Linked DNA regions of Elephas maximus indicus. The protein of the gene in region 1 purifies or fractionates together with the protein of each later gene. This does not show direct contact. Links are inferred from orthologs where the notes say so. Each region holds a gene or a part of one and is shown in the gene's direction. Other genes may lie near its edges.

Region 1 (10,088 bases):
GCACCTAACAACGAGAACAACAATATATCTTCGTTGGAGAAATGTGTATTCAAGTCCTTTGCCTATTTTTAAATTGGGCTTTTTGTCGTTAAGTTGTAGGAAAAATGTGTGCTTTTAGCATATAATAGTTTGAAGGTACTTGTAACTTCTTATACCTTTTTAAAAATACATTGGAAAATGCATCTTAACATATTTAATTGCTTCTTTCATTAATTTAAGTTAAGGAGCCCTGGTGGCAGAGTGGCTAAAGTGCTTGGTTGCTAAGCGAAAGGTCAGTGGGTAAGGTTAGTGGTTCGAACCCACCAATTCAGTTTAAACTGGACTTGCAAAAAGGAACCCTAGTAGTGCAGTGATTAAGAACTTGGCTGCTAATCAAAAGGTCTGTGGCAGGAACCCACCAGTAGCTCTGTGGGAGAAAGATATGATCTGCTCCCATAAAGATAATACCCTTGGAAACCCTATGGGGCAGTTCTTTTACGTACAGGGTTCCTATGAGTCAGGATCAACTCATTGACAATGGGTTTGGCTTGGTTTTGGGTATACTATTAAAAAAAAGAGTTAAATGGAAAAATGTCATGATTAGTAAAGCCCATGTTGAGTCTACTTAATTGAGCATTTGTCAGTTCATGTCACTCCTCTGGTAACAACCCTTCCACATCTTCCCTGTCACTGGAGGCAAAAGCCAAAATCCTTACAAAACCACCTGCAATCTGCATCTCCCCGCTTCGCTCTTACCCCTGATCACTGTTGTTCCCCTCAGGCCTCTGCGTTTGCTGCTCCCTCTGCCTCCACCTCCTCTAGTGTATGCATTTATGTTAACTTATTAGTTGGGTTTCCCTGACCACCCCATTTATAACTGAAAACTCACCCCCATCTCAGCACGTCCTGCCCCTCTCGCTATGAATTGGAACCAACTTGATGGCAACAGGTTTCAATGGGTACTGTCAACATCTCAATTATTTTATTTATTTACTAACTCTTCCTAAGACAGTGAAGGTGTGTTTGCATGGTTCACTGCTGTATCCCTAGTAGGCTAGTGCCTGGGTTAGAGAAGGTGCTCAAAAAAATATTTGCTGAAATTTTGTGACAAAGTATAGCATTTAGGTATATAGGTGTCCCCTGCTTTTTGAAAATTCATTTTATACCACTTCCCTTTTAAGAAAGACCTACGTCAGTACCTGTTTTCACTAACGGAAAGAAATCCGAAGAGGATTTCCACTTTTACCAAAAAAAAAAGGCTAAAAGTGGCAATAGCATTCAGAGTTTGTTTTGCAGCAAGCCATTAAACAGGCAGCGTGTACCCAGAGCAGCAAGAGTGATGTTGCCAAGCCCCTTGCCCGGGAACTACACTCAGCATCTTAGCATCAAGCCACCATAACTTTGTGAGTATCTGTGCTTTATCTCGATTTATTTTGTGCATCTGTTAGCATGATGCATCTTAAAGTATCAGAAAAGCCTAGGTGAGCTCGTAAGGGTGTTACACTTAGTGTAAAACTGGACATTTTACTACACTCTACATACATTATTTTTATTTTATACAGGCTGCGTATTTATGTTATCATTTCTGCTTTTACTATATGTCAGCGTTGTTTTAAGTTTTATGGGTTACTTGGTATGGTTTGGTAGGTTATGTACTGGGTCTGAGAATGCTCAAAATTTTTTCCTGTATGAATTAATGGTAATTGTGTCTTTGTTTTATGCCGTTTTGGCTTACCAAAGATTTTCATAGGAACAATCTCCTTTTGGATAGCGGAGAAAGCCTGTATTTCTTTCTTTCATTCAAACTCAAAATGTAAGCTATATATTCCGAGCACCCAAACTTTGAAATGACCTCTCATAGACCTATTATCCATGGATAATTCGATAATCACTTTTTGCTACTGAGAGTTAATTTGTGCCCTCTTCCACTCTGTATTCTTGGTAGGCTCTGGGACTTCAAAAGGAGGGAATTTCAAGTTCCTTATAGATCCCTCAGAAATTCAGGGGGTAACATATGATCAGGAACCGATCACTGAAGGAAGAAGTCCAAATGTCACCGAAGGCACTGGAGAAAAACAAGCCTCTGGGAACTGACCGAATACCAACTGAGATGTTTCAACTAATGGATGCAGCGCTGGAAGCACTTGCTCCTCTATGCCAAGGAATTTGGAAGACAGGTACCTGGCCAATCAACTGGAAGAGATCCATATTTATGCCTATTCCCAAAAAAAGGTGATCCAACCGAATGCGGAAATTATCAAACAATATCATTAATATCACATGCAAGCAAAATTTTTCTGAAGATCATTCAAAAGCGGTTGCAGCTGCATATCTACAAAGAACTGCCAGAAATTCAAACCAGATTTAGAAGAGGACGCGGAAACAGGGATATCATTGTGGATGTCAGATAGATCCTAGCTGAAAGCACAGAATACCAGAAAGATGTTTACCTGTGTTTTATTGACTATGCTAAGGCATTCACCTGTGTGGATCATAACAAATTTTGAATAGCATTGCAGAGAACTGGGAATTCCAGAACACTTAATTGTGCTCATGAGGAATCTGTACATGGATCAAAAGGCAGTCTTTTGAACAGAACAAGGGGATACTGAGTGGTTTAAAGTCAGGAAAGGTATATATCAGGGCTGTATCCTTTCACCATACCTATTCAATCTGTGTGCTGAGCAAATAATCCAAGAAGCTGAACAATATGAAGAAGGATGGGGCATCAGGATTGGAGGAAGACTCCAAGTGACACAACCTTGCCTGCTGAAAGTGAAGAGGACTTGAAGCACTTACTGATGAAGATCAAAGACTACAGCCTTCAGTATGGATTGCACCTCAACATAAAGAAAACAAAAGTCTTCACAATTGGACCAATAAATAACATCATGATAAACGGAGAAAAGATTGAGGTTGTTAAGGATTTCATTTTACTTGAATCCACAATCAACACCCATGGAAGCAGCAGTCAAGAAATCAAAAGACGCATTGCATTGGGCAAATCTGCTGCAAAGACCTCTTTAATGCATTAAAAAGCAAAAATGCCACCTTGAGGACTAAGGTGCGCCTGACCCAAGCCATGGTGTTTTCAAACGCCTCATATGCATGGCAAAGTTGGACAATGGCTAAGGAAGACCAAAGATGAATGGACACCTTTGAATTGTGTTGCTGATGAAGAATATTGAATATATCTTGAACTGCCAAAAGAAGGAACAAATTTGTCTTGGAAGAAGTACAACCAGAGTGCTCCTTAGAAGGAAGGACAGCAAGACTTACATCTCACATACTTTGGACATGTTATCAGGAAGGATCAGTCCCTGGAGAAGGACATCATGCTTGGTAGAAGGTCAACAAAAAAGAGGAAGACCTTCGTGAGATGGATTAACACAGTGGCTGCAACAATGGGCTCAAGCATAGCAACAATTGTGAGGATGGCACAGGACTAGACAGTTTTTCATTCTGTTGTGCAGAGGGTCGCTATGAGTTGGAGCTGACTCGATGGCACCTAAGAAGAATAACAACAACAACCCTGAACTTTTGTTAGTCTCTGTAGAACAGGTCTATCATGATAGTATTAAAAGCATAAGAAGCAAAAACAATTAGTAAAATAAGTCACTATTTGTACTTTCAGTGGAAAAATAAAAACATCTCATGGCAGATTTCTTCCTTTTGTAAAAAAGGAAGAGTAAGCTGATGTTTTTTTGAGCATTTAGAAAAACTATTACCCTTTCAAGTGTTGTCTAAGGCTGTGCGATGATATGAAACAGCATTGGTGTGGGAGCAGGGACCGCAGTTTCCTTGTGTGTAGAATAAGCAGAGTAAAGATGATCTCCAGGCTCCATCCAGCTCTAAAAGTCTACAAACCTCTTGGAGATAAAGCCAGGGGACCTTTTAGTGTGCACTTAAAGGTATAGTTCATAGTTTATTATTACAACTGATTTACTACCAAGAATGGCTATTATAAATCTTATATTTAGATATATGAACTTTATTTTTGTAATTTAGTTTTTTCCAGTTAAATGGAAATTGTTTTCATATCACTAATGTCTAAAAATGCAAGTAATATCTAAAAAAAAAAAAAAAAAAATTTAAAGACCACCAGAATAATTGTATTTACCTGACTCATTAGGGGCTAATTAGTGTGTGAATGTGTGAGCCTCCTGTAGCTCTCTTCCTATTTTTGAACAAGGACAAAGAGTTCAAATTCTATTTTGTACCTTTTTTATAAGCTTCAAGGACATTATAACCAAAGGCTAAAATGAGTTTTTGGCACTATTTGGAAGTCTATTTTGGGGGCTATGCCCACCACCTCAGTTAACCTGAAACGAGAATAACCAGTACTGTACATTGTTTATTAATTTCAACTCAAATCATTTCACAAATGTTAATATTTTATCTTTAGCCGTGCATGCATGGTGAGGTACATACTTCTTAACAGCTCCAAAATACAAACTTTTAAAAGAAAATTTATTAATCAGTGAAATCACACTAGCCTATGGGAGAAAGTTAAGTACACATTTCTATACTTCCAAATTTCAAATTAACATTGGCGCATTTTTATGCCAGCTAAAGCACCTAACAGTTGGCATAACTGATCTCCTTAGTCAGATAATGGAAGACTGGCTGGTCACTGCGCAGATTTTCTGCGGTTTCTGAAGTTCATCTCTATCACAAATCTCAATTCTGGTACCCCTATCAAGACTTCAAAGACATGTGACACCTTTAATTTAATAAAAAGAAAAATTAAATTTCTAAAATACAACAGAATAACAGATTTCGAGAGTGAAAGTCTATTTTTTAAACAAAATCTTAGCCCTTTATTTTTCATAAGCTTTTATAGTTTCAGCATGATTCGATTGACCAGTTTTAGTCCAGTAGGAATAAAAGTGCACGACCTGGTTGGGTTTCATCCTCATTGTTGGCTACTGGGATTTCATAACTGATGACCAGGTCCTAAATTGGTCAGCGTATTGTTGAATATCCGTCTTTTTGGTGGGTAAACTCAGAAACGCAGTTCTCGGACTTGTTAAATTCTGTGTCTATTAAAACCAAGAGAACAGCTCCCATGCAAAGGCCTGTGAAGTGTGCCATACATTACAGAAGACCGCGCTCTTAAAGCAAGTTTCTATCTCCCAAGCCTGCACCAAGACAAAAGAAAGGCTCTGCCCTCGCCCTTCAGAATTTAAAATTCAATTCGCAAGGCAAAAAATTAGACGTGGGGGGGCGGGACTCTGCATATAGCAATTGCTCATTTGTGTTGTACAAATCAAAACCGAAATAAAACTTGGAGTTTTAAACAAATAGCGGTTGAAATATATAAGAAAGCAAATCTAAGATGGAAGGATAAAAAGGTTGGGGATTTGAATTGAAAATGCCAAGTTGAGGACTGAAAACATTTGGATACAAGCAGCCTCCGGCCTGGAAAAGCAAAAAGCAAAACGGAAATCGGCACTAAAAAATTAGAAAGGCCAATAGGTTTTGCAGCAGGTCGGTTTAACTGAAAGGCGGTTTCCTTTTCCTCCATTTGCTCAGTCCCAATTGGAAGCGCAATGCGCGGCCTGCGCCGCGCTCTCGGCCCGGGATTCGGCGTGGGGGCGGGGAGGTAAGTACGGTAATGGGGCGGGGCCAAGGCGCGGGCGCGCTCCGGCTTTCCTACTGCGCAGCGCTACCGTAAGCGGGGGGGCGGGGCGGCTATATTACGTGCGCGGCGCCGCCCCTGCGAGAGGACGTTGCGTGCTCGCTCGCGCCAGGCGAGTCTCCGCGTCTCCCTCGCGAACTGGGTGAAAGGAATTGGCGCCGTTCGACACCAGGCGGGTCCGCTCTGCAGCACGAACCCACCTCCAGCCGCAGCCGCAGCCGCCGCCCGGGCCGAAGAGCAGCAGCAGCAGCCGCCACTAGTGGCCGTGTGCGCGGAGCCGAGTTTGAGCCAGCACCTAGCGGTGAATCGGGGTCCTCACGATGAGTTCCTCGCCTGTTAATGTAAAAAAGCTGAAGGTGTCGGAGTTGAAAGAGGAGCTCAAGAAGCGGCGCCTTTCCGACAAGGGCCTCAAGGCCGAACTCATGGAGCGACTCCAGGCCGCGCTGGACGACGAGGAGGCCGGGGGCCGCCCCGCCATGGAGCCCGGGAACGGCAGCCTAGATCTGGGCGGGGATTCCGCCGGGCGCTCCGGAGCAGGCCTCGAGCAAGAGGCCGCGACCGCCGGCGACGAGGAGGAGGAGGAGGAGGAAGATGAGGAGGAAGGGATCGCCGCCCTGGATGGCGACCAGATGGAGCTCGGGGAGGAGAACGGGGCCGCGGGGGCGGCCGACTCGGGCCCTATGGAGGAGGAGGCCGGCTCGGAAGACGAGAACGGCGACGATCAGGGTTTCCAGGAAGGGGAAGATGAGCTCGGAGACGAGGAGGAAGCCGCGGGCGACGAAAACGGGCACGGGGAGCAGCAGCCGCAACCGCCGGCGACGCCGCAGCAACAGCCCCAGCAGCAGCGCGGGGCCGCCAAGGAGGCCGCGGGGAAGAGCAGCGGCCCCACCTCGCTGTTCGCGGTGACGGTGGCGCCGCCCGGGTCGAGGCAGGGCCAGCAGCAGGCGGGAGGTAAGAAGAAGGCGGAAGGCGGCGGAGGCGGCGGTCGCCCCGGGGCTCCGGCGGCGGGTGAGTGCTGCGTTGTACGTTGCGCGCGGCGGGAGGCCCGCGCGGGTGGGGACCGTGCCCCAGGCCTGCCGGAGCCCCGCCAGGGGGAGGGAGCCCTGCGGGGGCGTCGGGCCAGGGAGGCGCGGAGCCTGCTGGTGGCTGGCTTGGTGGGGGGGGTGCGGGGAATCCCGGATTAGCCGTGAGGCCTCGGCCTTGGTGTGTGTGACGGTGGCGACAGCGCCTCCATTATGTGGCTCGAGAGCCGGGAGCTGCAGCTGCCGCCGGTGGGGGGGCGAGAGGAGCGGGCGGGCGGCGGCAGGGAGCCCCGTCGGCCCTCGGTGGCGCCGCCGCGGTGCGTGCGCGCGGTGCGGGCACATGTCTCGGGGGGAGGGGAGAGGCCCGCGGTCCTGGGGCGGGCGCGCTTTGGCGGCTCTTCGCCGCTGTATTGTGCAAGGAGCGCAGGGGCCTGGCGTGACGTCACTTCCGGCGGGCGGAGCCGGGCGGAAGATCAGTACAAAGCGGCCGAGGAGCGCGGGCCCGGGTGGGGGAGGGGAGGCCGCGGGAGCGGAGGCCCGGCCCTTCCCCCCTTCCTGAACTCTCTTCGGGGTACACGTGGGCTCTCGGCTTGCGCCGCGCAGGTTTTCCCTGCGCTGTCTCTAAAATCGCGGAGTAGACTGGCAAAACGAGCGCTGTCTAGACTGCGTCACTAGCTCAAATCCTGTTGCACTGATTGTTGTTGGAAATTCACAATTGGTTTGTCGATTTAAAGTTTTTTTTTTTAAAAAAGAACAGGAGAGTCGAGCCTTTTGGCGTTTCAAAATAGAAAAGGTTTTTTTGTTTTGCGCCTTGGCCTCTTATAAGGTGTCGTGTATTATAGGAGACGGCAAAACAGAACAGAAAAGCGGAGATAAAAAGAGAGGTGTTAAAAGACCTCGGGAAGATCACGGTCGTGGATATTTTGAGTACATTGAAGAGAACAAATACAGCAGGTAGAGGATGCTAACCGAGTTTAATTGTCACCTGTTCATCATTCGTTGATGGAAAAAGCTGTATCAGGAGACAATTTCTCTTTCAGGGCTAAATCTCCTCAGCCACCTGTTGAAGAAGAAGATGAACACTTTGATGACACAGTGGTTTGCCTTGATACTTGTAAGTGAAGCTATTTTTCCTCCCGCCCACTTTCTCATGCGGTGATTTTTGGTTCCAGTACGTTAGAAAACAGTGCTGTATGTTGAATATAGAAAATTTAGTAAGGTTAAGTAATTTGTTAAATATAAGTAAGATGTGGTCTGTATTCAGATTCTGGCAGCTAAACATTTAGTACAGCATCAGTTGTATTGATAATTTCACAGGTTTTAGTGATTTAGTAATTTTTATATAAGTTGGAAGTTTTTACCAGGAATATAAAATTAATGCCAATTTTTGACTAATTAGTTAATTCAAACTTGTAAGACTACCCATGAATTGTCCTAATAGGGTTCTATGGTAAAGTAATTACATTTTTTGTAGCATTATGTAAAGTGAGCTATTTGGGCTAGTTGAATACTTAGTAATGGGTTTTTCCGTTAGCACACAAGTATATTCCCTATTCTGACAAAAGATTGTAATAATACTTTTTCAATAACTGCTCTTTTGTTCTCAATTCCAGTTCAGTAACTGCTGCTTTAACATAAGTTGATTTCCTCCAAAGACCTGGGCAGCAGCAGTGGGCTACCACTGGGCCACTAGTTTCTTCAGCAGCGAATGGTATCAATGGCAGCACTGTAAATACTGCTACTTTTGCCAGTTGGGTTGCAATTGAGTATAAGGAAGTATTGCAAACCTCTAAATGGGCCTTGGCTGTCAGCCTTGTTATCTTTTTCATTGTAAAAATTGTTAGTTTAGTATTCGATAGAACACAAAGCTTTTTCAGAGAAGTAGAATAAGGGGTGGAAATAATGGCTTGAAGTACAAGCAGGTAAGATGGTGACCTGCCCTGTAGATTGAAGATATGCCCTGTAGATTTATTCAGATTTGCAAGAGTAAATGTAAAATTCTTGATTTCTTTTTAAACACTATTTATAAGTAGCTGAGATACTCATTGAGATTTTTAAAAAAGCCTCACATGGGTAAGTCCTTCTTTGATTTGAAAGTTCATAGTAAATTCCATTGCTTAAATATAAAGTCACTAGGAATTTTTGGAATGCCGAAGTAATGTTGCAAGAAGGTAAGGCCGCCATTAGAAAGTAAATACGTCTTCAGCAGATTAGAGATAGCAATTCAAGTGCAGTATTGGGTTCAGATAGGTTGTATATGATGCAAGTTCTATCTGTGATAAAAGGAATTTTAAGAGCAAAGATAGTTATGGAGGATTACAAACTGTAGCATTTATTTACTCCAAAAATAAATAAATAAAACCCCGGGTTTGTGACTCAGTGTTGGCTCTCAAGTGTGAACGCTGAGAAGATGCATTCTGATAAGCCAGTGACCCACAGATAGCTAAGAAGCTTTGGATGATCCAGGACATAGATAATCCCATCCCTACTGACTGACAAGCAATCCTTCAGAAAGGGGCTATAATATGAACACCTTTAGACCAGAGTTACACCATGTAGATCAAGGCTCCCCTCCCAAGTTTTAGAACAGAGTTTGGGGCCTGGAGGGCTGTTGTTCAGTTACAAAGGGCAAACTCAACAGCTCATAATCCTACTTTAAAATATTTGGCCATGGCCTCCCTTCAGTTTATTGTGGCACTGGTAAATTCAGCCTGGTTCTGGCATGCTTCGCTTTCATTTTCTGCTATCGTCTACTGCTTGCCTGTATGTCAAGGTAAAGAGCAGAGCAGGTATGTATTAATGTCACATTGTCTTGATTACATGCTTAAAACTTAGTATTTCTTAGTTTTACAGGCAGTTTATGCTTTAGCTTTTAATTTGGTAATATGAGTGATTTTTTTGGTGGGAGTGGGGTTTGAATTGAAACTAGGACAGCATGATACGTTGAAAAATAAATTTGATGCAGCATCAAGAAATGCAAAATTTTAATAACCAAGTTTTGTCTGTGTAGCAGAAATGTTCACATTGATGTCAAAAGAATATAATGTGATACTTGATATAATTACAGATAATTGTGACCTACATTTTAAAATATCAAGAGATCGCCTCAGCGCTTCTTCTCTTACTATGGAGAGTTTTGCTTTTCTCTGGGCTGGAGGAAGGGCATCTTACGGTGTTTCAAAAGGCAAAGTCTGTTTTGAGATGAAGGTGAATGCTAATTTTGTAATGTTTTTGTGAGTTCTCATTTGCTTGACACTTACGTGGCAAAGGATCTTCCTGTGGATTAGAATAGGATCTTGGAGCCTCTGTAACTGTAAACGCTTGTTATATTAGAAATGTAAGTAGAATTTCATTGTAGAGTCGGCGCGTTCATTTAGGGTGCTTCTTTATCAGGCCACCAAGGGGTTAAATAAAAAATTAGGTTTCTGGTTTTGTCGGAGAGAAAA
Region 2 (10,315 bases), on another chromosome or scaffold:
CATTGTTCTCAAGTCAATCCCAACTCATAGCGACCCTATAGAACAGAATAGAACTGCCCCATAGGGTTTCCAAGGAGCGGCTGGTGGATTTGGACTGCTGACCTTTTGGTTAGCAGCCAAACACTTAACCATGGCGTCACCAGGGCTCTCAAGAAGCGCTGGTAGTTGGAAAATATGGCAAACGATGCCAGAGACCGCATGACAGAATTTTGCAAGACCAACAACTTCTTCATTGCAAATACCCTTTTCAACAACCTAAATGGCAACTATACATGTGGACCTCACCACATAGAATACACAAGAATCAAATCAACTACATCTGTGGAAAGAGATGATGAAGAAGCTTGATACCATCAGTCAGAACAAGGCCGGTGGCCAACTTCCGAACACGATTCATTGCTCAGATGAAAGTTCAAGCTGAAGCTGATGAAAATTAGAGCAAGCTCAAAAAAAAGAAAAAAACCAAACCCATTGTGGTCGAGCCGATTCCGTCTCATAGCGACCCTATAGGACAGAGAAGAGCTGCCTCATAGGGTTTCCAAGGAGCACCTGGTGGATTCGAAATTACACCCTTGAGTGTTGTCATGGATTGAATCATGTCCCCCCAAAATTTGTGTATCAATTTGGTTAGGCCATGATTCACAGTATTGTGTGATTGTCTACCATTTTTGCATCTGTTGTGATTTTCCTGTGCTGTAAATCCTGTCTCTATGGTGTTGATGAGACGGGATTAGTAGCAGTCATATTAATGAAGCAGGACTCAATCTACAAGATTGGATAGTGTCTTGAGCCAAACTCTTTTGAGACATAAAAGAGAGAAGTGGGCAGAGAGACATGGGGACCTCATACCACCAAGAAAGAAGCACCAGGAGTAGAGCATGTCCTTCGGACCCAGGGTCCCTGCACTGAGAAGCTCCTAGTCCAGGGGAAGATTGATGACAAGGACCTTCCTCCAGAGCCAACAGAGAGAGAAAGCCTTCCCCTAGAGGTGACGCCCTGAATTTGGACTTCTACCCTCCTAGACTGTGAGAGAATAAACTCCTGTTTGTTAAAGCCATCCACTTGTGGGATTTCTGTTATAGCAGCACTAGATAACCAAGACAAGTATATCCCACCTGAATTTAGAGACCATCTCAAGAGATTTGATGTATTGAACACTAATGAACAAAGACCAGATGAGTTGTAGAACGACATCAAGGACATCACACACGAAGAAAGCATGAGATCATTAAAAAGACAGGAGAGAAAGACCAAAATGGATGTCATAAGAGGCTCTGAAGTTTGCTCTTGAATGTTGAGTTCCTAAACGACGAACTAAAAGAGCTGAACAGAAGATTTCAAACGGTGCTTGAGAAGACAAAGTAAAGTATTATAATGACATGTGCAAAGATCTGGAGTTATAAAGCCAAAAGGGAAGAACATGCTCGTCATTTCTCAAGCTGAAAGAACTGAAGAAAAATTCAAGCCTCAAGTTGCAATACTGAAGGATTCTACGGGGAAATTTTTGAACAACACAGGAAGCATCAAAAGAAGATGGGAGGAATACACGGAGTCACTTTACCAAAAAGAACTGGTCGACATTTAGCCATTTCAGAAGGTAGTGAATGATCAAGAACCAATGGTACTGAAGGAAGAAGTCCAAGCTTCACTGAAGGGAATGATGAAAAATAAGGCTCCAGGACTCAATGGAATAACAATGTTTCAACAAACATGCAGCATTGGAGGTGTTCACTAGTCTATGTTAAGAAATTTGGAAGACAGCTTCCTGGCCAACCAACTGGAACAAATCCATATTTGTGCGCATTCCAAAGAAAGGTGATTAAACAGAATGTGGAAATTATCGAACAACATCATTAATATCACACACAAGTAAAATGGTACTGAAGATCATTTAAAAGCAGTTGCAGCAGTACACTGACAGAGAACTGCCAGAAGTTCAAGCCGGATTCAGAATAGGACATGGTATGAGGGATATCATTGCTGATGTCACATGGATCCTGGCTGAAAGCAGAGACTACCAGAAAGATGTTTACCTGTGTTTTATTTGTCATGCAAAAGCATTTGACCATATGGTTCATAACAAATTATGGATAACACTGTGAAGAATGGGAATTCCAGAACACTTAATTGTGCTCACGAGGAACCTGTATTTAGACCAAGACGCAGTAGTTCAAACAGCACAAGGTGATACTGCATGGTTTAAAGTCAGGAAAGTTTGCATCAGGGCTGTATGCTTTCACCATACTTACTCAATCTGTATGCTGAGTAGATACTCTGAGAAGCTGAACTATATGAAGAAGAATGTGACATCTGGACTGGAGGAAGACTCATTTACAGTCTTTGATATGAAGATGACTACAACCTTACTTGCTGAAAGTGAAGAGGACTTGAAGCACTTATTGAGAGTACAGCCTTCTGTATGGATTGCACCTCAACATAAAGAAAGCAGAAATCATCACAACTGGACAAATAAGCAACCTCATGATAAATGGAGAAAATATCGAAGTTGTGAAGGATTTCATTTTAATTGGATCCACAATGAAGGCCCATGGAAGAAACTGTCAAGAAATCAAATGACGTATCGCATTGGGCAAATATACTGCAAAAGACCCCTTTAAAGTGTTAAAAAGCAAAGATGTAACTTCGAGGACTAAAGTATTTTTAATTGCCTCATATCCATGTGAAACTGGGCAATGAATAAGGAAGACTGAAGAATTGATTCCTTTTAATTATGATGTTAAAGAAAAATGTTGAATATACCATGGACTGCCAGAAGAATGAACAAATCTGTCTTGGAGGAAGTACAGCCAGGATGCTCCTTAGAAGCAATGATGGTGAGACTATGTCTCACGTACTTTGGACATGTTATCAGGAGGGACCAGTACCTGGAGAACGACATCATCCTTGGTAGAGAGTCAGTGAAAAAAAGGAAGACCCTCCACAAGATGGACTGACACAGTGGCTGCAACAATGGGCTCAAGCATAACAATGATTGTAAGGATGGCAAAGGACTGGGCAGTGTTTCGTTGTGTTGTACATAGGGCCGCAATAGCTAGAACTGACCCAATGGCACCTAACAACAAGTGACAGAACCAGACTTGTGTTTTAGAAAGAGTCCTCTGGCTGTAGCCAGAGTTGGCCCTGGAGCAGGGGAGCTGGAGCCCATTTGGGCAAGTGTGGGAAGTGGCCAGAGTGGGAATTGGCCTCAGCAGAGTCACAGCATACCTGCAGTTAACTCACACAATTGCCACCTTGCAGGCTCAGCTAAAAAAAAAAAAAAAAAAAAAGGACAACATGAGAAAAATAGGTTTGTACAATTAAAAATAAATAAAAACCTGTCCAAATGCATTGTGCCTGTCCTCTGTATTCCAGATCTAAGATTGTACACACTCTACATATGTATTTCTATACAGTTTGAATCCCCAGAGTCCAGGTTCTGTACACTAGGCCGTGTAATGGGTTTCTAGGGGGTAATTAAGCCCCTGGATGACTTGAGAACCTCATTGCCATGGAAGGTATTCTTTACTTAAGGTCTGTAACCAAGATCCAATAACAAGAGGGGAGATCCTTGTGTCAGAGGGACTCCCTACTTCCTCCAAACAGCCTGGTGTCCTGCCTTGGTCCAAAACACCCTTGGGTGCAGTATAAAGCATTCTGTGCTGAGGTTGATCCCTGCCTGTTCACAGTTCTTTATAATTTACCACATGTTTTCTAAGCCATTGTCTCATTCTAGCTTCACAAAAATTTAATCAGATATGAGATCTTCTAAATTAGACCAAGGAATCAAAGCTCAGAAACACTGTGGCCCACAGCAGCCAGGAGCTCTGGAAACAATCTCCAATCCAATTGGAAGTGATGGCTTTTCAGCCACACTTTTTAGCCATGCAATTTCAGTGTTCTTGGGTATAAAGTATGGATAACTGCCTGTCTTAGGCTGGGTTCTCTAGAAAAGCAAAACCAGTAAAATGTATAAATACCTGTATAGACAGATCTTATATCATGGAAATGGCTCACTCAATTGTAGAGGCTGGAATGTCCCAAGTTTGTGGATCAAGACAGAGGCTTTTCCTGATTCACGTGGCCACAGAGTCTGGCGAACTCAAGATTGGTAGGTAGGAGGGCAGGGCTATTGCTCATAAGCTGTGAAGATTCAGGAATCCCAAGATCAGCAGATAAGCTGTTAGCTCAGGTCTCAAGACTGGGAGGTCAGACAAACAGAAGGCAGCTGCAGGATCCAGAGCAGCCAAAAGCCAGAACGTCCACTTAAATTCGGATGCAGGCCACATGCCCAAAGAAACAGCAGATCCCATCATGGGGGTAATCACATACAAACACTGAGAATCACAGCCCAGCCAAGTTGACACAAAACATTAACCATCACACTGCCCAAAGCTATTTTGAAGCTCCAATGAAGCAATGTTGGTAAAAGCATTTTGCAAACTGTGAAGCACTGTCCAAATCCTGTTATGATCAAACCTGACCTGTCATTGAAAGCATTTCTGAGTTCTGCTAAAGGAATCCATGTGGATGAGTGCAGGAAACTAAGTGAAACTAGGCCCTCAGTAGTTATGTCCTGGGGCTGCATTTACACTATTTGACTTTGAACTCAATCGCCTGCATCACTTTGATTGCTTGGGCAGCTTCACCCATCTTTTGTTGGCCACATCACTGGCCCTTATTTCTGTGAGTGGGCAGGGCAGTAGGTGGAGTTGGGCTGGGGAGTTGGTTGGGGACTTCCCCACAAGCCTCACTGCCAGATTTCCTGGCAGTGACATGACTAAGGTTTTATGGAGATATGTGAATTTCAGTCAAGGAATCTAGCCTGAAAGAGTGAAGAGGTAAGGTAGTCCCTGGGGTGAACCACAGGGCACTGGCTCACCTGGGGGTAGCTCTTGATTGCTGCCTTGGAGGAAAACAGCCCAGTGTGGCCAAATCTTCAGATTTTTGTAGAAAGTCTGAAGTCTAGATTTTTTTTTTATTTTTAATTAATGTGATTGTCAGTTTTCATTCTCACAGTAATTCCATTGTCCAGCTAACTGGATTAGGGCAGGGTTGGCTGTGTGGCCTTGGCCATGCTGTTGCCTTCCATTTTCTTATTTATAAATTGGTGACTGTGATGGTACCACCACCATAGGGTTGTTAGGAGACCAAATGAGAGAACAGAATGCTCAGCCTGTTGCACAGGGCCTGGCTGCAGGAATCTAGCTGGAAATATCAGCTACTTGTGTTCTGTTGCTACTTGGTGAATCCAAGCTTCTGAGGATGTAATCCTGGGCCTTTTGGGGCCCCAAACCCAAATGATTAAAAGCAATCATGGGGTAACGCAAGCCTTTGAAGCCTGGTAGATGATATAAAGCGATTTTGTATCTCCGTGTATTAAAAAAAGATAATCAACCACTGTCCCCCGCAACTCATGATTTCACAGGCGTGGTTATGCTTTGTTAAAAATAAATTTTAGCAAAAATGAACTAATCTAAAGGAAAGATTTAGGTAAACAAAACTATAACTATGATGCTAATCACCGATATGGTGCGCACCGAGGATTGGGGAACACCGTGATCCATGGCTCTTCCCCCGCCATTGGCAAGATGCCCCTCCCCCCCGCCCCATCACTGTAGGAAGGGGAAGCAGCAAAAAGGCAGGGAGCGGGGGGCTACGAGGGGCTCCAAGGGCAAAGAGGAGCGCGGTCTGAGAACCCATGCGCCCAATCCCGGAAGCTCAGACTCCGGCGCCCGGCTTCTGCCTCTTCCAGTCGGGCGACCTTGGACTGCGAGACTTCCTCGCGCCGTTCCCCTTTTGAGAAGTGAGGCGGTTGAGGCCGCCAGTGCTGGGATGGGGGTAACGGGAGCTAGCGGCTACGGCCTCAGGGAGTCAGGGTTCGTTCTGGGCTTCTCCGAAGCTGGGCTCCGGCTGCCGTGCAGCCGGAACACGCCACCATCCCGCCCGGCCTCCAGAACCCTCATCAAGGCCCCAAACTCGCGCGGGTTCTAAGATGAGGACAAAGCCCGCCCGGATCTAGAGCGCGCGCGCCGTCGCAGCCAATGATATGCCAGCCTAAAGCTGAGTGACGGGAGACCGCATCCAATGAAGACGCGTCTTGTTGCGAGGTGGCCCCAGCTTCGGCATTATAAAGAGCGCCACGAGTCGGCATTGTCAGGCGGCGGAACCGCGCGGGCCGAAGAGGGCTTTGAGTCGGTGGTTCTGCCCGGCGGCAGTCGCGGCAGCGGGAAGGGGGTCGGGTCAACCCCGGCAGCGCGAGCGTGAGCGGGGCCGAGCCCGCGGCGCCTTCCCCGACAAGTGGGAACGAGCGGGCCCCGCAGCGTCATCGGCGGCGAGGTAAGCGGCCCGGCCCGTGAGCCGGCGGGCAGGCGGGTGGGCGCTCGGGAGGTCGGGGCGGGCGCCGGGCCAGCTGACGCGGGTCGCCGCTTGGGGCCTTTCGTTGCAGGAGCCGCCGCGCACCGGCCTAGGCATGTCGGAAGTGGGTGAGGAGCAACCCATGGAGACGACAGGCGCCACCGAAAACGGACACGAGGCCGCCCCCGAAGGCGAGTCGCCGGCCGGTACCGGCAGCGGGGCCGCGACAGGGGCCGGAAGCGGGACCGCGGCCCCCCCGGCGGGGACTCAGAACAGCGCCGAGGGAGACCAGATCAACGCCAGCAAGAACGAAGAGGACGCGGGGTAGGTGCCGCGGGCGGCCGGGGCGCCGCCTTTGTTCCGGGCCTCCTTTTGTTGGCGCCACGCGGCGGGGGGAGGGGCGGCGGCGGCCCGGCCTGGTGGCGGCCGCGCGGGTCTGGCCTCCGGGCTCGCCGCGGGCCTCCCCTCCGGGCTCGCCGCGCCGCCGCTCGCGCCGGAGTTTGCCGGAGTTTGTTGGGTCGACTTTGGCGCCGCCCCAGGGCCGCTCGCGCCGTGCGGGGCGGACCGCCGAGAGGAGGGACCGCGCTCGCACCCGGGGCCAAGCCGGGTCTGGGCTCGAGCTGCGTGGGCGGTGTTGGCGCGCGCCCCGGCCTAGGCCTTCCTCCCGCCTCCCGCCGTCGGGGGCGGAGTCGGGCTCAACGTGGTCTCGGCTCCCGGAAGCCTCCAGTTCCTCGAGCGAGATTCCGGGAGGAGCTAAAAAACAGGGGTCACGATAGACCTCTGAAAAGCGGATTTTAGGCGTATTAAATTCCAGTTATGAGTGGTCAGGGTCTGTACCCTTGGCGAGGTTGTTCTTCCTTTCCTCGTTGGGTGAGAGACCTGGGGGTATGCCGTATTAAGCATTGTAAGGGTCTAGGGTCACTTGGGGGTAGTGGAGATGTACATCTTTGAGAGTAAAATCCTAACAGTTTTCAAGGGTTGTGTAGGCCTTTGTGATGGTGGCCTTACTTGTAGTTCTTTCGGTTTTGGGAGGGTCAGTTCTTTCTGAAATCATGCTGTTCTTGTAAGACTTACTTGTCCTCACCCTACTGTTACAGAAAAATGTTTGTTGGTGGCCTGAGCTGGGATACCAGCAAAAAGGACTTAAAAGACTATTTTACCAAATTTGGAGAGGTCGTTGACTGTACGATAAAAATGGATCCCAACACTGGACGGTCAAGAGGGTTTGGGTTTATCCTCTTCAAGGATGCAACTAGTGTGGAGAAGGTAAGCTGGGGACTTTGTGTCAGCAATCTTAATACATAGGGTTTGAGTTGAGAACATTGTTCATTCTAGACTGATTAGTTTTTGTGCTCTGCATGTGGCTGAGTGCTTTGGGAAAAGCAGAGCAGTTAGAGGTTGTGTTCTTGAAGAAGCAAAAGTACAGATAAAATGGGAAGAGAAGAGTGTGGGCTGGAGTGGTCAAGGAAGATGAGGTTAATTAGATTATTTTTCTGTGTGCTTATCTTCAGTAAAGATTAGAGAAGAATCTATAGTTGCTATGAGGTAGGTATTTTTAGCACCGTCTTACAGTTGAAAAAATAAAGGCTCAGAATTTTATGAAGCAATCACACAACTAGTAAGTGGTGGCAGGAGGATCCATAGCCCAGCTCCAGCCTGTACTCTTAATCACTGCTGCTTTATTTCTGGAGGAGTCATGCCTTCCACTGGGACCGCCTGAACAGGAAGAAAGTCAAGGGTGGGACTGATTCATAGGTATTAGGGTGCTTCAGATTTTGAAGAAAATTGGGTTGGGAAGTCAGGCTGGGGTAGAGTTTGGAGGAGTTGAAGCACATATTGTGTACCTGCTTGGGAGTTTTGTGGCTCAGAGAAGGGCATTGCCTAGGGTCATGCAGCTAAGTTAGACCTAGTCACCTTTTTTTGGAACAGGTGTTAGACCAGAAGGAGCATAGGCTGGATGGCCGTGTCATTGACCCCAAAAAGGCCATGGCCATGAAGAAGGACCCAGTGAAGAAAATTTTTGTTGGGGGTCTGAATCCCGAAGCCACTGAAGAAAAAATCAGGGAGTACTTCGGAGAGTTTGGAGAGGTGAGTGTGTTCCCAGGAGTCACCTGCTAACTGCCCTGAGGCTGCTTTGCTCTTGGTCCTTGGCAGCCTTGCCTGGCCAGTGCCTTTTTTCCTTGTGTCCTCTAGGCTCTGGGCCAGGGGAGGCACACACCCTGAGCTTTGCCTGTGTTTACAGATTGAGGCCATCGAACTTCCCATGGATCCAAAATCAAACAAAAGACGAGGCTTTGTTTTTATCACCTATAAAGAAGAGGAACCTGTGAAGAAGGTTCTGGAGAAAAAGTTCCACACTGTCAGTGGAAGTAAGGTAGTGTGTCCATATGTCTGTATGCTTGGCCTCCTGCTGCTAGAGAACTGGCCCTTCGCATGTGTGGGCTTTGTAGACCCAGGTGGGCTACCTGCAAGAGCTCTCAAGAGTGTTTGGCCCTTACTGTTTGTCTGCAGCGTCTGCTGCCCTGGCTGGGGCAGGTTGAATATATTGGATGAGGTACCGGCCTTCAAGTAGCTCTTACACGGTAGAGCTGGCAGTTAACTGGTTGTGAGGGATGCAGGAGAGTTGGCATGGTGTCTGTGGGAAGAGCAAGCTGGGGGTATCCTTTCCCGTATGAAAATAAGGTGGGGGTGTTCTGGATCTTGAGTCTAAAGTATGTGAATCTGGAGTTGAGGTCTTGAGATGGTATGGAATTTATGCCGCTCACTATTTTTCTCTGTGGTGAAGCCTGCTCTGCTGCAGAGCTTTGCTTCTATCTCCTTTCTTAAACCAAATCTTGGCTCCACTTCATTTGCTGTGGGTATTACTTTAGTCACCCCCCACCCCAGGCAAAGGCCCTTCCCAAAGAGCTCCCAGGGACCTGGCTAGTTGAAATCCAGAGCCAGTTTTGCCTTCAAATAAGTGGATCCTGTGCAGTGAGAGGTGGAGTTCTTCCCACTGAACTCTGGGCCATCCAGGCTTCAAGTGTTCCACCAGGCAGCCGAGGAGGCAGTTGGGAGCTGAGGGTGCGGCCTGGGTGTGGTGAGTTCTGTGTCTGAGCAGGAGTGGCAGCCAGATAAGGTGGGACAGGTAGGGTGGGGCTCTTGGAAGCTGCTGTCGTTGCTGGGAGTTTGTGAAGGTTGGATTCACTTTAGGGGCTGCTGGGTGGGGCATTCTTAGTTAATTACGCACCCCCCCCCCACAATGCCATCTCTGGCTATTTTTTTTTTTTTTTAGCCTACTGTAGTGTGAAACAGTGGGAGAAAGAGCCTAGGGCAGTGCTAGTGAGACTGCTGGGGGTGGGTCTTGAAATAAATGTGTTTACTTCATTGTATTCGGCATTTCTAATTCAGTAGACTAGGATACCGTAGAGTGTATCACTTGTAGAGGTGACCTGTCACTTTTTTAGGAAGAGTATGCTTGTATGAGGATACTGTGTAAAGTGGTTTTTACGGCTTTTAATGGGGGCAGGGGGTGTGTCAGGAGACTTATTTTATACACTTAACTAAGTAGCATTTTGAAGGGCCGCCACTCTACCTTACACCACCCCCAAACCAAAACCAAACCCAGTGACGTCAAGTCAATTCTGATTCATAGTGACCCTATAGGCCAGGGTAGAACTGCCACATAGAGTTTCCAAGGAGCTCTCTATAGGACAGTAGAATTGCCCCATAGGGTTTTCAAGGAGTAGCTGGTGGATTCGAACTGCCAACCTTTTGGTTAGCAGCTGAGCTCTTAACCATTGCTCCACCAGGGCTCCCTCACCCCCAGTGAGCAGGTTTTTTGACCAAAAATGAAATTGACTCTAGGATACAGAGAACCTAAGCATCCAGCCCCTCCTGACAATAGGCCAGTGGGTTGGAGCGTGGAGGGAGAAAGGGTTGGGTGGAGGTAGCTGTAACCTCATGCGGCCTAGACCCCTGA
Region 3 (9,845 bases), on another chromosome or scaffold:
CAGTACCTGGGCCTTTGTCACCAACAGAAATCTCTATCACATCACAGTTTGCAACAACTTATCTTAAACAGGAAACCCTGGTGGTGTAGTGTTTAAGAGTTATGGCTGCTCCTTGGAAACCCTATGGGGCAGTTTTACTCTGTTCTATAGGGTCGCTATGAGTTGGAATCGACTCGACGGCAACGTGTTTTGGTTATCTTAAATATTTGAAACTATCTTATATATTTTTTACATTCTACTGTATGTCAAAATTATGAAAGTCGTTGGACTTGCCAGTAGATCTTTATACTTAATGCATTAGTATACCACAAAGATGTTTTTAAAAATATTTTGCTAACTGTGTTTCTATTCAATTGGTTTTCTTTGTATTCTTATGAAATTTGCTTTATGCATTTAAGAATATTATTCTGAGCTCCATAGCCTTCAGACCCCCAAGGGGATTGGCACAAAAGAGGTTAAAAACCCCTGGTCTGGAAGGAGGTCACAAAAGTAACATCCTCTAAGGGCCAGCTGGAGGCCTGAAAACCAGGTCCTCTTTGGTTTTTCTACTTTTGAAGGAAAGAAATATCTCTCCTTCCTTTTAACTCCAAGAAAAGCTGCTTTAACACCTGAAACAAATGGCAATGAGCACTGGCTTCTGTGTCAAAACATTAGGGTGTAAGAGAGGCTGAGGGGAACTACAAGCACTGACCCCAGCTAAAGGCAGTAGCTTCTTGTTCCAGCTGACCCTTGCCCTATGGGAAAGAGAGCCCAGGAGGGCCAAAGCCTCCATTTTTCAAGAAAAGTCAGAAGTTTGTGTTTTTGTGCAACACTTCAGTATTGTCAATGTCGGCAATTAGTTAGTTTCTTAAAATTGTGCTTTAGGTGAAGGTTTACAGAGCAAATTAGTTTCTCATTAAACAATACGCATATCGTTTTGTGACATTGCTTGCCTAGTTAAATAGTTTTAGAAACAACATGTAGGCCACATTTCATGCCAGGCCACAGTGGTGTTGGGTCTTGAAAGAGAAGCAAAGGCTGAAGACGGAACCTCAGAGAACACTGCTGTCTACAGGGAGAGCAGAAGAAGAGACTGTAGGGAAAGGAGACAGTGGGAGAGGTGGGAGGGTGAAGAGCAGGGGTGTCAAGTAAGGAGGTTTTTGAGAAGGAGTGAGAGGCCCCCATGTTGTGTGAATCAGGAGAGGTCCACTGAGAGAGAAAAGCCCTGAGAAATGGCGGCTGGAACGCAGCTTTTCAGCGGTCACAATTTGAGCCTGCCACTCTCCACCACTCTGTCGCATGAGTGCCTTTATTCACCCATGCTATTCCTTCTGCCTGTTATACCCCTTCCTCCCTTGATGCTTGGAGAACTGCTACTTATCCTATCAGGCCTGGCTTTAATGTTACCACTCCTCTTTAGTGTTCTTTGGTTGTCCACTTAGAATCCCTGGGTGGTGCAAATGGTTAACTAACCAAAAGGTTGAAGGTTCAAGTCTACCCAAAGGTGCTTAGAAGAAAGGCCTGGCAATCTGCTTCTGAAAAGTCAGCCATTGAAAACCCTATGGAGCACCGTTCTACTCTGACACACATGGGGTCACCATGAGTCAGAGTCAACTCAACAGCAACTGGTTGTCCACCTGATGGATCACTTCCTTTCTCAGCAGTGTTTCCAGAGTTCTTGATTCCATGTTATAAAACTTAGCATATTTGATTCAAGTACACTTTGAAGTTCATGTGCCACTGTTACCCACTGGCCATAAGGTCCTGTGATTCAGGAACCTGGTCTTTTTTTATCCATGCTATGCAGTGCTCAAACTATGTTTGCTAAGTGTAGAGTAACAAGCGGCAACTCTGAGTCCGCCTCCTTAGGTTGAGAACCTGGCTTTGCCACTTTCTGTGTGGCCCTGGGCACAGCTCTTGACCTTTCTGTACTTATTTCCTCATCTGTAAATTGTAATCCTCACACCAACCACATAGGCTTACTTGTTTAAATAAGATTAAACAAGTTATACTCAAAGCACTCAAAACAGTGCCTGACACTTAATAAGCCTTATCAAAGTGCTAGCTATTATAAATATATTATGTATAGCTATAACACATAAGGAAACCCTGGTGGCATAGTGGTTAAGTGCTACGGCTGCTAACTAAAGGGTCAGCAGTTTGAATCCACCAGGGGCTCCTTGGAAACTCTATGGGGCAGTTCTACTCTGTCCTATAGGGTCGCTATGAGTCAGAATCAACTCGACGGCACTGGATTTGGTTTTCGGTTTTATAACACATAAATATAATATGTATTTTTATTATTAGGAATTGGTTGACCTGCAACCATTTCAAGAGGTAGCATATGATCAGGAACCGATGGTACTGATGCAAGAGGTCCAAGCTGCACTAAAGGCACGGGCAAAATACAAGTCTCTAGGAATTGATGGAATAACAATTGAGATGTTTCAACAAACAGAGGCAGCTCTGGAAGTGCTCACTCGTCTACGCCAAGAAATTTGGAAGACAGTTACCTGGCCAACCCACCAGAAAAGATCCATATTTATGCCTATTCCCAGGAAAGGAAATTCAACCAAATGCAGAAATTATCGAACAATATCATTAATATCACACACAAGAAAAATTTTACTGAAGATCATTCAAAAGTGGCTGCAGCAGTATATCATCAGGAAACTGCCAGAAATTCAAGCTGGATTCAGAAAAGGATGTGGAATGAAGGATATCATTGTTGATGTCAGATGGATCCTGGCTGAAAGCAGAGAATACGAGAAGGATGTTTACTTGTATTTTATTGACTAATCAAAGGCATAGTGTGGATCATAACATCTGTGGATCATAACAAGTTATGGATAACATCGGGAAGAATGGGAATTCCAGAACACTTAACTGTGCTCATGAGGAATGTACACGTAGATCAAGAGGCAGTAGTTGGAACAGAACGAGGGGGCACTGCGTGGTTTAAAATCAGGAAAAGTGTGTGTCAGGGTTGTATCCTTTCACTATACCTATTCACTCTGTGGAAACCCTAGTGGCGTAGTGGTTAAGAGCTACACCATTAACCAAAACGTGGCAGTTCGAATTCACCAGGCACTCCTTGGAAACTCTACAGGACAATTCTACTCTGTCCCATAGGATTGCTATGAGTTGGAATCAACTTGACAGCAACAGGTTTGGTTTTTATTCATTCTGTATGCTGAGCAAATAATCCAAGTAGCTGGACTATATAAAGAGGAATGTGGCATCAGGACTGGAGGAAGACTCATTAACGACCTGTGTTATGCAGATGACACAATCTTGCTTGCCGAAAGTGAAGAGAACTTGAAGCATTTGGTGATGAAGACCAAAGATCACAGCTTTCAGTATGGATTATACCTCAACATAAAGAAAACAAAAATCCTCACAAATGGACCAATAAGCAGCATCACGATAAACAGAGAAAAGATTGATGTTGTCAAGGATTTCATTTTACTTGGATTTACAATCAACACCCATGGAAGTGGCAGTCAAGAAATCAAACAATGCATTGCTTTGGGCAAATCTGCTGCAAAAGATCTCTTTAAAGTGTTGAAAAGCAAACATGTCACATTGGAGATTAAGGGGCGCCTGACCCAAGCTATGATGTTTTTGATTGCCTCTTAGGCATGTGAAAGCCGGATGATGAATAAGGAAGACCGAAGAATTGACACCTTTTAATTGTGGTGTTAGCAAAGAATATTGAATATACCATGGACTGCCAAAAGAACAAATAAATCTGTCTTGGAAGAAGTACAACCAAAATGCTCCTTAGAAACAAAGAGAGCAAGGCTACGTCTCACATACTTTTGGACATATTATCGGGAGGGTTGATATCGGGAGGGTTGAGTCTCTGGAGAAGGATGTCATGGTTGGAAAAGTAGAGTGTCAGCGAAAAAGAGGAAGACCCTCCGTGAGGTGGGCTGACACAGTGGCTGCAACAATGGGCTCAAGCATAAGGATTGTGAGGATGATGCACGACCGGGCAGTGTTTCATTCTGTTGTACATAGGGTTGCTATGAGTCAGAACCTAACCAAAACAACAACAATCTATAGATATAACACATATCAGTATTAAATGCTAGCGTCATCTGTTTTTACACTAATGCATCTCCACTGCCTAGAACAGGGTCCACCAGGGCTCCCTTGTCTGGAACCCGGTAGGTGTTTAATGAATATTTGTTGAATGAATGAATCAATGATGGATTTCCCTTTGCCCTCACTTCAGAGTTTCATTACCCTTCCAAAGCGTGTGTGTGTGTGTGTGTTCAAGGCCCAAATCAGAGGTTTAATGGAAGTTTATGGGCAGGTTGGGTCGTACCCCTCATTGTTTCTCTAGAAAAACGCGTCCAACCTACAAAGTGACTTCTGGAGAAGTAAGTTGGGAAGGAAAATTTGCATGGCATGTTATCAGGAGTAACCTTTGTTTTATTCTAGAGTTAAAAGTTGCCTTCTCCAAGCAAGGCTTATTATAGAGTGGAAGTTGTGAGTTAATCTGAATTTCATTTTTTCTCTTTGCTCTCAAGGGAAGTGAACAGGCTTCTGAACACTCCAAAGTGTTCATGTAGCCAACAAAAGGAATGTTTTGCAGTCACACAGACCTGGATTCAAATGGCACCACTGACCTTTAGCTGCCCTACAATCATGGATTTACTTGGCCTGAGACTCACTTTTCTTACCTATAAAACGTAGGAAGCCTTGGTGGCATAGTGGTTAAGTACTATGGCTGCTAACCAAAGGGCCAGCGGTTCAAATCCACCAGGTGCTCCTTGGAAACTCTATGGGAGTGTCGGTATGAGTTGGAATCGACCGCACAAAATGGTGATGGGAACGCAGTTATTGCGCATTTTTAAACCACTTACGCCTTATAACAAATGTCATTTATTACTGGCATCTCTAAACTGGTGCCTTGGTGGGGATTCAGGAGAATAAAAGGTAGCTCCCAAGGTTCTCCGAAGTCCAGGGAGGTGTGGGCTTTCCCCTCCCACGGCTAATAAGGGGCAAAGCCTGAAGGTTTGGGCGAAACGCGCCTGGGCTAAATCTATGCTTCCTTTCAAATTAAATTAACCTCAAAATCTACACACCCTCGTAGGGACTGAGAATAGGCAGCCATGAAAAATGAAGTGAAAATTGAGGCAGTGAGAGAGTTCATGTGCGTCGGAAAAGGAGCGTTAGAGTCAGCGGGGGTGTGAGTGTGCAAGGGAGGTTGGCGGCGGGCGGCACAGTTCAGCTGGCGAAGCGGAAGGCAAGAACTCCCTGTCCTGAGTGAAAGCGAGGCCCAGTGAAAGCGGCCAGAGACGAGAATTTCGCTTCCCGCCCAGCAAATCCCGGCTTTGACTACCGCCGGCTCCCTGGGCCCTTCGCCCCGCCCCCAGCAGGTCATCGGACTCTACCATTATGCAATTACAGGGGTAGAGGAGAATCGTGGGGTAGCGCGTCAGAGAAAATTAGAGTGTTTTATAGGAAAGTATGATTATATATTATGATTATTAATATTCTAGGTTAATATGCTTCTTCCTGAGGCCTGAACTGTCTATACTTCTTGAAGCGTGGTAGAATCCAGCCCTGCTTCACTTTTTCTTTTTCCGCATTTGGTACAGTCCCCTGCTGTACGTAGGCGGGGGAGGCGTACATAAGCCTCGACGCAGGAGGCGGGGTTGCTCAGTCCTCGAGGCGTCGGTGTTCCGTGGTGGTGGAATCTTGTTGCTTGTCGGCTTGTGCGCGCGTGCGCGGACATGGCCTCAAACGGTATGTGTGTGGGCGCGAGGCGGCGGTGGCGCGCCAGCCCTAAGGCCTCGTTTCCTTGTAGCTGGGCTTTTGTTTTTCAGTGGGACCGGGGCGGCGACTGCGTGTGGAATCGTCTCCACGCACCCCTGGGGCGGGAAGCAGCGGAGAAGGGTGGGAGGGGGAGGCCGATGTCGCCATTTTGTTTCGTTCCTTCGGGGCCTGCGAGCGCGGGGTGGGTGGGTCGGTCTTCCTTTTACTTGAGGTGGCTGTGGGGGGAGGGTGAGGAACGTTTCTTGATGATTTGAAGCATGAGGTAAGGATGGAGACGGTCGGACCCAGGAGAGGCTTTTCCTTCGCTCCCAGCCCCGCGCTCTAGACCGCTTTGTCGCAGTGCTGCATCCGGGCACTCGGTGCGCGCACGCGCTCTGGCGGTCCCTCCCCTTAGCTGCGCGCACCCTTCTGCCGCCTCGTGCTAGCCCCGTTTTTTGTCGCGAGGCCCTCCGCTGGAGAGCCTGCGGCGTGCGTCCGGTGTGACACCGTCTCACCCCCGGGGTCCCTCGGGAAGGGGCGGGACTGCTCCGTTCCCGCCTTGGTTGCCACGCGGCTGGGGGCGGAGGCTCGGGATCAGGGCCACGCACTGGCCTAACGGTCTGGGGGCAACAGGAAGAGAGACCAGGGGATTTGGAGACCAGACCCGAGGATTTTCCCGCCTAAATTTTTTTTTTTTGAGATGGGAGCCGAAAGGCACGGCCGCTCGGGCCACACCCTCTTCCCTTTTGCCTTTCCCTTTGGGGGAAACGCCTCATTTCCTGTACGGATGTTCGTACCTCTTTTAATCTGGCGTTATAAAAGCGCTTTCGCTCCGTTCGGTTTGCCGAGTCTCCCCAAGGCTCCAAAGAAGGCAGGGTGGATGAGGAAAGAACTCTCAAGCTTCACAGGACTGGGGACTTGAGTACCATTTGCTTCCTGAGGCGAACTGATGGCTCTCCTGTTTGGGGCCAAGGGGGGGGCGGTTCTTTTGGTTGCCTGGGTTAGTGCCAAAAGCCCACGTTGGCCGATCTGTAAGATTGGACAGAAGTCGGAAAATGGACACTTGAGACAAGAATGTCTTTGGGTTGAAAGAATGGAGACAGCATTCCGAGCGTTCCTACCTCGGGCTTGAATTCAGCCCTGTCTCTGACGTAGGGCATGTTACTCTGTCTTTACTCTTGGTAGTGCTTTCCTTAAAGAGTGGTTGTGAAAACGCATGTAAAATGTTTTAGAGCTGTTCCTTTGCAGAAAATTGTAGCTGTTTTTCCCTTTGGTCACTGCAGAGATTTGCGTTTTCTTTGTATGGTTATCATTCTTTGCTGTAAGAAAATTTGACAAATCCGCCAGCTTGCCCCTCCTCTCAACTAGAGTCTCATGGGGTAATTTATGTTTTTGTAAGTCTTGCTTGTTGTTTTTTCTTGGAAATCCCAGTGATTGAGTTAAGGAGTTTTAGCTTTATCCTACTCTTTCAGGATTGGCTGAAGGTAATGTGATTTGTATTTTCTTTTTGCAGATTATACCCAACAAGCAACCCAAAGGTGAGTGTTGAGTCTCAGCTTCCAGGGTTTGTACAGGGCAGGGTGGCCAAGGAGTCTTTCTCTAATCTGGTTTTTTTTTTTTTTTTTTGACCAGCTACGGAGCCTATCCCACCCAACCTGGGCAGGGCTACTCCCAGCAGAGCAGTCAGCCCTACGGACAACAGAGTTACAGTGGTTACGGCCCTTCAGCGGACACTTCAGGTTATGGCCAGAGCAGCTATAGTTCTTCTTATGGACAGACTCAGAACAGTGAGTCTCTTTTAGTGGGCACTTGACCTATTCCTGCATTGAGTGTTGCTTTTCTTAAACCTGAACAGTGGGGAAATGTTGAAATTGTCCTTTTTTTTTGGCACATAGCCTGTCTATAAAATGTAGAACTTCTCTGGCCAGAGTCTTTTGTTTCAAACGGAAATACATGTTGGTTTGTAACTTTTTTTCCTGCCTTTGGCTTTTTATCTTTTTAATTTTTGCTGGACCTTTTCACATTTCCCCTTTGATTATGAAAGTGAAATGTGGGGAGGGTATTCCCTGAACAGAGGAACATTTTTTAGGCTTAGGTATGGTTTACTTAAAGATGTTTAAAGTCCTGTTACCGTACAACACGTGATACACTAGGAGGTTGAATTTGCCTTGAGGCCCAGAAGGGTAAGTAAATAAGGTGAGTGGTGTTGTATGTGCTGAACACATAACCAGCATGTTAAAATGCTATTAATAAATAGGATTTTTTGGGCTACAATTAGATGGTGGTCTTAGAGACTGTCTTTGGGTCTCTTTGAACTAAAGAGTTGATAGTAAGTTGAGGCAGTAGACTTCAGGTGGAAGAGAAGTGTAAATTTAAGGCTTTGAGTTACAAGATTCACTTGTACCTTCTAAGAGGCTGACTTTTCAAGTATGGGTGAGGATCAGTTAGTGTATTGGTTACGTAGCATTGCTGTAACAAATACCACAAGTAGTTGGGTTTAACAATCAGAAATTTACTTTTTCACAGTTTAGGAGGCTAGGAGTCTGAATTCAGGGCACCTGTTCTAAGGGAATGCTCTCTCTGTCCACTCTGGGGGAAGGTCCTTGTTTCTTTTCAGCTTCTATTCCTAGGTTTCTTGGCCATCATGTGGCTTGTATTGTCCCTGTCTCTACTTGCCTGCCGGGTTACTTGCTTAATCTGCTTGTTTTATATCTGAAAAGTGGTTTAAGACACACCCTAGACGGAATCTGACTCATTAACATAACAAAATCTATTCTGAAATGGGATTATAGCCATAGGGATCAAACCCACTGCCATCTAGTTGATTCTAACTCATAGGAACTCTATAGGACAGAGTAGAACTGCTCCGTAGGGTTTCCAGGGAGTGGCTGGTGGATTCAAACTGCAGACCTTTTGGTTAGCACCCAAGCTCTTAATCACTGTGCCACCAGGTGTTAGGACTACAACACATAACTTTTGGGGGACACGGTTCAGTCTATAAAAAGGTAGTATATAACAATTTCTTCAACCCGTTTTGTACCTTCTCTCTCTTTTCATAGCCTTTGTGCTTCCTTTTCATTTCCTTTTAGCAGGCTATGGCACCCAGTCAGCTCCCCAGGGATATGGCTCAAGTGGTGGCTATAGCAGTAGCCAGAGTTCCCAGTCATCTTACGGGCAGCAGTCTTCCTATCCTGGTTATGGCCAGCCTCCAGCTCCCAGCAGCACTTCAGGAAGGTAAGGGAGGTACGAGGGGAAGGCTTGGAGTATTGGAGATGAATTGATAAAGGCATGATAATGTGACTAACAATAGGAACAATTATGAGGGATTGGGGGTGTTTGTGTTGGGTTCAGAGAAGAGGGTACGCTAGAAGTGAAAGGGTGTTTTGGCCATGCTGCTATGGTTCTGGTTTTTGTTCCTTTAGCTATGGAAGCAGTTCTCAGAGCAGCAGCTATGGGCAGCCTCAGAGTGGAGGCTATGGCCAACAGTCTGGCTATGGTGGACAGCAGCAAAGCTACGGACAGCAGCAAAGCTCCTACAATCCCCCTCAGGGCTATGGACAGCAGAACCAGTACAACAGTAGCAGTGGGGGTGGCGGCGGAGGAGGAGGTGGTGGAGGTGAGAAGGAGCTGCAGCTTTGCCTGTGTTCTCTTTACCTATTTAAGAATTTTTGTATTCTACTGCTTAGCTCTTCAAGAATATTCCTGAGTTTTCTTGTTCCTTAGGTATTTTGGGCTTGTTGTTATTGTACGTTATCTCCTGGCACTGTTGAACTTGTTTGTGTTATTTAACGTTCTTTCCTGGCAGGTAACTATGGCCAAGATCAGCCTCCCATGAGTGGTGGTAGCAGCAGCGGTGGTGGTTATGGCAATCAGGACCAGGGTGGTGGTGGCTATGGAGGAGGCCAGCAGGACCGTGCGGGCCGTGGCCGTGGCGGCGGCGGTGGTTATAACCGCAGCGGTGGTGGCTATGAACCCAGAGGTCGTGGAGGTGGTCGTGGAGGCAGAGGCGGCATGGGGTAGGTGTCTCATGAACCAGGGAGTATCTTCAGTAGGCAGTGTGGAGGGTTGCATGAATCTCCCCATAAACTCAGTCCCCA

The links. The genes of interacting proteins can lie anywhere in the genome.
Region 2: the proteins of HNRNPU (region 1) and HNRNPAB purify together in Homo sapiens (affinity purification with mass spectrometry; 4 studies listed by BioGRID and IntAct, with this or other methods). This does not show direct contact. The link is inferred for Elephas maximus indicus from reciprocal best matches to the Homo sapiens genes HNRNPU and HNRNPAB.
Region 3: the proteins of HNRNPU (region 1) and FUS purify together in Homo sapiens (affinity purification with mass spectrometry; 7 studies listed by BioGRID and IntAct, with this or other methods). This does not show direct contact. The link is inferred for Elephas maximus indicus from reciprocal best matches to the Homo sapiens genes HNRNPU and FUS.

Annotation. Positions count from the first base shown.
Region 1 is NC_064842.1:19,263,096-19,273,183, forward strand, and holds the start of HNRNPU (heterogeneous nuclear ribonucleoprotein U), read left to right. Parts: upstream 1-5,698; 5' UTR 5,699-5,940; coding exon 5,941-6,628; intron 6,629-7,484; coding exon 7,485-7,596; intron 7,597-7,682; coding exon 7,683-7,756; intron 7,757-9,709; coding exon 9,710-9,849; intron 9,850-10,088. UniProt on the Homo sapiens protein: DNA- and RNA-binding protein involved in several cellular processes such as nuclear chromatin organization, telomere-length regulation, transcription, mRNA alternative splicing and stability, Xist-mediated transcriptional silencing and mitotic cell progression.
Region 2 is NC_064820.1:198,349,594-198,359,908, forward strand, and holds the start of HNRNPAB (heterogeneous nuclear ribonucleoprotein A/B), read left to right. Parts: upstream 1-6,130; 5' UTR 6,131-6,336; intron 6,337-6,445; 5' UTR 6,446-6,469; coding exon 6,470-6,678; intron 6,679-7,451; coding exon 7,452-7,620; intron 7,621-8,283; coding exon 8,284-8,442; intron 8,443-8,596; coding exon 8,597-8,728; intron 8,729-10,315. UniProt on the Homo sapiens protein: Binds single-stranded RNA. Has a high affinity for G-rich and U-rich regions of hnRNA. Also binds to APOB mRNA transcripts around the RNA editing site.
Region 3 is NC_064830.1:90,406,311-90,416,155, forward strand, and holds the start of FUS (RNA-binding protein FUS), read left to right. Parts: upstream 1-5,660; 5' UTR 5,661-5,726; coding exon 5,727-5,739; intron 5,740-7,261; coding exon 7,262-7,286; intron 7,287-7,380; coding exon 7,381-7,535; intron 7,536-8,837; coding exon 8,838-8,982; intron 8,983-9,170; coding exon 9,171-9,364; intron 9,365-9,553; coding exon 9,554-9,764; intron 9,765-9,845. UniProt on the Homo sapiens protein: DNA/RNA-binding protein that plays a role in various cellular processes such as transcription regulation, RNA splicing, RNA transport, DNA repair and damage response. Binds to ssRNA containing the consensus sequence 5'-AGGUAA-3'.